2 linked regions of the Mus musculus genome follow. The protein of the gene in region 2 purifies or fractionates together with the protein of the main gene of each other region. This does not show direct contact. Links are inferred from orthologs where the notes say so. Each region holds a gene or a part of one and is shown on either strand. Other genes may lie near its edges.

What was found.
Region 1: the proteins of Stx12 (region 2) and Vamp3 purify together in Homo sapiens (affinity purification with mass spectrometry; 3 studies listed by BioGRID and IntAct, counting the BioPlex papers as one, with this or other methods). This does not show direct contact. The link is inferred for Mus musculus from reciprocal best matches to the Homo sapiens genes STX12 and VAMP3.

What each region holds. Positions count from the first base shown.
Region 1 is NC_000070.6:151,047,908-151,051,559, forward strand, and holds part of Vamp3 (vesicle-associated membrane protein 3), read right to left. Parts: exon of another isoform or gene 3,169-3,652; coding exon 3,010-3,168; intron 2,140-3,009; coding exon 2,088-2,139; intron 1,140-2,087; coding exon 1,123-1,139; 3' UTR 1-1,122. UniProt on the Homo sapiens protein: SNARE involved in vesicular transport from the late endosomes to the trans-Golgi network.
Region 2 is NC_000070.6:132,867,351-132,871,002, reverse strand, and holds part of Stx12 (syntaxin-12), read left to right. Parts: intron 1-2,735; coding exon 2,736-2,835; intron 2,836-3,652. UniProt on the Homo sapiens protein: SNARE promoting fusion of transport vesicles with target membranes. Together with SNARE STX6, promotes movement of vesicles from endosomes to the cell membrane, and may therefore function in the endocytic recycling pathway.

The DNA.
Region 1 (3,652 bases), about 18 Mb from region 2:
TGGCTACATTCTAAGAGCACCAGGCATCTCTGGTTAGCTATCCTCTACGAGTGACCGGTGGCTTACCTCAAGCATAAGACAGAGATGAGTACAAGCAGTACACAGTCTTCTGGAACTCTGTGCAGACTGATGCCTTGGTGAGGCTGCACGGCTACTGCTCACATCGCACTAGAGACCACAGCCTAGCTCAGTCTACAAACTGCTGGCTAAGTATCTTGTCTACAGGTGTGATCTGAGCCCACCTCCATAGCTCTAAAGAAGAAACCAAATCAGAATGACTAGCCTTCTCTATAGCATTTCACAGGATGGACTGCCGACATGTTGAAGGCTCGCTCTCACAGTATTAACATTTTTCTTAAAGGACACCTTGAGTTACATTTGGCACTTATTTGAATGTATCTATTGGGGCAATTTATTTGTACTTAACTTTTGGCAAAATAGAAACTTTGGTCATAGTTCTATAAAAACTTCTTAAAGGGTTATTTCTGGTTAAAATACTATTTTAGGAGTGATATACAACAAGAACAAGAAAGTAAACATAGTCATATCTAACATAAGAGCATGAGCTCTTCACCAGCATCTTAAATACAGCGGGAGTCAGTAGTGCTTACAAACGGAGAATAATCTTAAAGAACAGTTTCCTAGCTATCAAAATAAGGCACACCCTGCTATTGTCACCCATTGCTGTTAGGCAGTAGTGTTCTTCTTGGAAGGTCCAAGTTAGGAATCTAATTACCCAAAAGTTTAAAATGTGGTTTTGAAGATGATGTCAGATGTGGGGACAGCTGCCTTGAACAAAACCCCCTTCCTGGAATCCACAACAAGTCATCTTGAGTGACAACATCCACCTCCATTCAGCACTCAGAACTACACAAGTCCTCTTTCCCAGTCCAGAAATCTGTAAAGGCACTGTGCAAAATGTGGGGAGGGTAGGTCACACCTCCAGTTTGGAGTGTATATGAAAAACAAAGGCACATTTTCTAGGCACTAAACTGTATGTAAACTAACAAAAATAATCATTTGGAAAAAAAACAATAGGTAAGCTCGATAACACGGCAGGTTCTAAGTAGAAAGTCTTGAAGAAGATCCTGAATATCGGGCTTCAGTTTCATCGGTTCTTCATTAAGAGACACACCACACTAAGAGGCAGGGAAGATTTAGAAACAATGAAAAGGGCATGTTAGTCTTTGTGTGTGCAAATACTCAGTAGGGATGGACTTCTACTGTCTAAAGAGGGACAGAGAGAAACTGACTTGGCCAGTTTTCCACTGGCAGCTTCTTTACATGCTACAGGGCTCTGGGGAAGACTAAACTCAAAAGTGGAAAAGGAAATACTAACAAGAACTAGCAAAGGAAGGCATGCTTTGCTAGGATGTTCGCATAGACTGGAATGAAAATAAAGTGAGTTCTTCTAATATGCAGTCACAAGAGTGGTGGGAGTAGCTATGTGCTAGCTATATACATTATTTACATAATTACTATTTCTGTTCTCCTATGCCAGGTACTTTCTTATGTAATAACCAGGTTTGTCCTAACAACACAAGGTGGACACCATTACCATCTTCATTTTATTCATGAGGACACTTGAGGTCCAGACAGACCCAACTGCTTGCCCAAAGTCACAGAGCCTTACTACAGGTGGCATAGCTGGGATGGATCAACTCAGCTAATCACTACATTCCACAAAAGGACACAGACTAAAACTGCACAGGAGAGAAAAATTGACCAGACATTAGGAGTGAGATTTGCTATTCTTAAAGGATAAGTGCACCCATCTATCCATCATCCATCTAACAAAACACCAGACTTTAATTACAAAAACTCAAATATTTAGGATCATTTTGGTGGCACAGGCCTATAATCCTAGCGCTTGAAATGTTAAGGCGGAAAGATCACAAGTTCAAGGCCAGCCTGGGTTGAACATCGAGACCCTGCCTCGAGACCCTGCCTCAAACTTCCCGCAATACCATCATCTCAAAACACCCTCAAGTATTTAAAATACTTGATAAAGAACGATATTTAAACCTTGGACTGAATCCACTCTTTGCTGCTGCACAGACGAACGTCTATGACCATGGGTAACTCACCGATGATGATGATGACAATGATCACCAGGACACTGATCCCTATCGCCCACATCTGCAACAAGACAGATCCATTTAACATTGCAAAACAGACAGTGCTCGCCGCAACCGCTACAGTGTGAAATAATTTATATAATTTCTAAAGCCTAAATTTTATATTTTCAGTTAAGTCCTGAAATTTAGTTATGGGCTTTCAGAAGTAGATTCCAATCCTCTGTGACCTCTGAAAACACACACATTTCCACACAGGCTCCTGATCTTGTCCCATTATCTCAGAGTGTCCTTTCTAAACAAAGCATAACAGGAAGTGTGTGAGCTCTAATCACAGACATTCCCATTTGCTAAGTCTGCTTTGGACAATATTCATATGTTGCTTTCTCCTCTTTTTGAACAAGGTGGGATTTCTTAGCATTTAACTTTTTTTTTTTTTTAAAGATTTATTTATTTATTATATGTAATACACTGTAGCTGTCTTCAGACACTCCAGAAGAGGGAGTCAGATCTCGTTACGGATGGTTGTGAGCCACCATGTGGTTGCTGGGATTTGAACTCCTGACCTTCGGAAGAGCAGTCGGGTGCTCTTACCCACTGAGCCATCTCACGAGCCCAGCATTTAACTTTTGAAATTGGAGCCATTCCCAGAATGGGCAGTTAACTGAGCATCAAAGCCAATAGCCCCGTCAGTGTGTTCTCAGTTACCTAGGTCTAGTGCCCACGACTGCTTGGGCCGTCTGATTCTGCATGTCTTCTAACTTTAGCCACAAAACATGGCATTAGATTCCCAGCTGTGGGCCAGGAAAAGGGATATAGACTCATAGTTGGCCAAGATTCTACCCACTACCCAGAGTCACCCAATGCAACAGAGTGCCTGTGCAACACTTGGGGTATGGAGGCCCGCTGTGAAGGTCTGTCAAGAGAGCATTACCTTGCAGTTCTTCCACCAATACTTTCTCTTCAACTTGGCAGCACTTGTTTCAAACTGCGAGGCACCTGCCTGCAGTGCATCTGCGCGGTCATCTAGCTCCGAGAGCTTCTGGTCTCTTTCTAACACCTTATCCACATTGACTCTCATGATGTCAACCACCTAAATGGACATGGTCACAGTTACACGGAAAGGAGAGGAAGAACAAAACTCCACATGACACCTATGGGCACTTTGTATTTTTTTCCAGATCAGTACTTTATTATGTTGAGCTAAACTTCCACTTAAGAAGGAAGCCCAGGCCTTTGGGATACATCCACACAGCAAACCAGGAATAGAAGAGACTTCAATTACAGAGAAGCCCACATTAGTATCACATACTATGGTGAGAGACTCAACTTCCTTCTAAGATCTGAAGCAGAACAACAGGATGTTTCACTTTCATGGCTGTTCAACACTACACTGGCAGTCTTGGTCAGGGCAATTATCCAGGGGAAGAAAGGCATCCGGTTGGAACAGAGGAGTACAACTATCTGTGCCACATGTAAGAAACTCTTAAGACTCCTTCATAGGAGGCTGCAGAGATGACTCATCAGGTAAGCTGAGTGCAATCTCTGGGACCCACATCATGAAAAGAGAAAACTGA
Region 2 (3,652 bases):
AGCCAGAAGTACACAGAGAACCCAACAAAACAAAACAGAATGTTCTATTCTTAGGGGTGGAGAGATAGTTCAGTGGTTAAGAGTACTGGTTGCGGGCTGGTGAGATGGTTCAGCAGGTAAGAGCACTGACTGCTCTTCCGAAGGTCCTGAGTTCAATTCCCAGCAACCACATGGTGGCTCACAACCATCCATAATGAGCTCTGACACCCTCTTCTGGTGTGTCTGAAGACAGCTACAGTGTACTTAATAAATCTTTAAAAAAAAAAAAAAAAAAAAAAAAAAAAGCACTGGTTGCTTTTCCAGAAGGCTGAGGTTCAATTCCTAGCACCAACTTGGTGGTTCATGACTGTTGATAGCTCTATTTCTGTGGGGTCTAGCTCTCTTTTCTGGCCTCTGTGGGCACTTCACATATATAGTGCACAGACATATGTTGCAGGCAAATCACCCATACACATAAAATAATAAAGTAAAAATTTTATTCTTTGGTGCTGGAAAAATGGCTCAGCAAGTAAAGAAAAGTGTTTGGAACCCACATGGTATAAGGAGAATTCAAAATTCTGGGAAGTTGTTCTGTAATGTCAGCGTATCTCATGTGCATCCTGGCACACCTGTGTCCAAATCCATCATGGTACACCTACACACACACACACACACACACACACACACACACACACACACACTAAACAAATAAATGTAATTTTCTCTTTAAAGTTCTGTTTTTTATCTCCGGCTGGGCTCAAACTCACAGAGATCCTCTTGCCCATGCTGGGACTAAAGGCGTGCAGCCCCGTAGCCCAGCTCTGTCCTTTACTGTAAAGTTGGTTGAGCAGCACTGTTTGCTTCCTCGAGATGTTGAGAGATGAGTGAGTAAGTGTTAGCGCAGGGAGCTATACTAAGGAGAGGTGACATGTCTCCATATCTTAGTGCTTCTAGAATGCTCTGGCTCCTGATTGGCTCCCTCTTGTTATCTCTCTACTTTTCTAATCTTAGAAGCCTGCTTGCAGTGAAAAATCACTGTGGAGTCCTGGGCACTAAGGCTGCTGCAGCAGTCGATCATAGGCCAGATAGTTTATAGACAACCATAGTTTTATTTTTCATAGTCCCCGAGGGTGAGATGCTGAATGAAGGTCAAGGCTCTGGCAGATAGCGTGTCAGATGAGGGCCCTCTTTTCCATGGAGAATGTTTGGGGTTTGTTTTCCTTTTGAAATGGTTTCACTATAAAGCCCTGGCTGCCCTGAAACTTACTATGTAGACCATCTAGCCTGGAACTCCAAGCCATCTACCCACCCAAGGATAGGGATGAAAGGCGTTTGCCATCACACTAGGCAGATGGTGCCTTCCTACTCGGTCCTTACTTGGTGGAATGGTTCCTTGAAAGGCCCATCACAGGCTAATCATTTTCTTTCTTTTTTAAAGATTTATTTCTATATGAGTACACTGTACCTGTCTTCAAACACACCAGAAGAGGGCATCAGAGTCCATTACAGATGGTTTTAAGCCACCATGTGGTTGCTGGGACTTGAACTCAGAATATTTGGAAGAGCAGTCAGTGCTTTTAACTTCTGAGTCATCTCTCCAGTCCACTAATCATTTTCTAATCCTACCTCCTAATAACATCACTTGGGGGCTTAGGAGTTCAGTGGGAATTCAGACCACAGCATGTGGCTTCTCTGTCACCCCATAAAACCTTTGTAGAAATGGCCGGAGAGGAGAGGTCGCCATGATGGGAAGAACCTGTGTTTATTTATTTTTATTTCCATTGCATCGTATTTATATCCATGTTCTTCCTCTTGAATTTGTTTGTTTGTTTGTTTTTGTTTTTTGTTTTTAGACATTTACTGTAGGAAGGCAGAGAGAGGGAGAGAGTAGGGAAGTAGGCTGGCCATGGCCACATGGAGAGAGACGGAAAGGGAAGATGGAGAGAAGAGGGGTAAGGGGGTAAGAATAAGAGGAGGAGCTCCCTTGAATTTCTTTTTCCTTCCATCCGTTCATCCCATTTTGTTTTAGAGACTGGCCTCAAATGTTCCTCCTATATCAGCCTCAGAGAAGCTAGGACTGTGATGGAGGTCACAGCGCCCATCACCTAGCTTCTTTGTGGTTTTTGGTTGTTAGTGTTTATGGTGCTACAGACTGAGTCCATTATCTTGCAGAAGAGGTAAGTGCTCAAAACAGCATAGGGTCCAGATGCCAGGCACAATGATGAAGGCGGGTAGGGGCAAAGGAAAAATCCACACAAGGAACCAACTTTTGGTTGGGAAGAGCTTGGGAATGGGTCTTTGGAACTTTTTCCTAGGTATGTAGGAAGCTATGCTTTTAATACGTGTTTCATCTAACGGCCCTAGTCAGTGGACTAATAAGTGCTGACCATACAGAGCTCCTGGGAGGTCAGTAAGAACTTTAGAGTGAGTTCAGTGTGTTGAAGTCATTAGGTTTGGGTGTAGGTAGTAATTACTCCTCTGTTTCTATAGAATACAGACATTCATTTTTTCCTAAATAGTTGAAACTCCTGGTCTGTGCTTGCTTCAGCAGGTATCATTGAGTGAGCATCTTTCTGCTCAGTGGAACTGCTTCAGTAATGGAGAAGGCCTTGCCCTGGGCTTGTGAGCATAGCACTGAAGGAAGCTCTTGTTCTAATGGCTCTTCATTCCTTGTACTAGGAGTCCCTGAGCACAAAGTAACAATAAGAGAGCTCTCAAGAAGCCACAGCATCCTGACCCTGTCTTTTCTCTCTTAGGCAACAGTTACAGCACTCCACAAATCAGCTGGCCAAGGAAACAAATGAGTTGCTGAAGGAATTAGGGTCCTTGCCCCTACCCTTGTCTGCATCAGAGCAGGTTGGTATTTTCTGTTTTGTTTATTAATAGAGGAAGATTTTGTTCTGATGGAATGGTAGTATAGAGAACAAAAGTAGGGCTTTGGTTCTCGATAAACATTCTCTAAACCTTAATTTCCTTACTACCTTCCCCAGTTTCATTTCTGTTGCTATGATAAAATACCAAAACAAAAAGCATCCTAGAGGAAAATTCACAATTCCAGATTATAGTCTCTTATTGTGGGAAAATCAAGGTAGCAGGAACTTGGAGCACCTCGTCACATCTCGTCCACACTCAAGAGGAGAGAAATGAGTGCGTGTGTGCTTGTTCTATTGTCACGTGCTGTGCTTAGCTCCATTTTTCTACTTTTTTAAAAAAGTTTTTTATTATCTTTATGTATGTGAGCACACTGTTGCTCTCTTCAGACACACCAGAAGAGGGCATCAGATCCCATTACAGATGGTTGTGAGCCACCATGTGGTTGCTGGGAATTGAACTCAGGACCTCTGGTAGAGCAATCAATGCTCTTAACCGATGAGCCATCTCTCTCCACCCCCATTTTTCTCCTCTCACACAGCTCATGATCTCCTACCTAGGGAATGGTGCTGCGTGCAGTGGGCTGGATTCTCCCACACTAGTCAGTTTAGTTAAGACAATCTCCTATAGACACGTTGACAAGCCAATTCAATGTAAACAATCACTCATTGAGATTCTTTTCCCAAATAATTATAGGTTGTGTAAAGATGACCATGAAGCTACCCACACAGAGAGGCAGCATGACTACTGTGGCAATGATGTCTTCCCAGGTGTAGCAAAGTGCCTGGCATCCATCATGTCC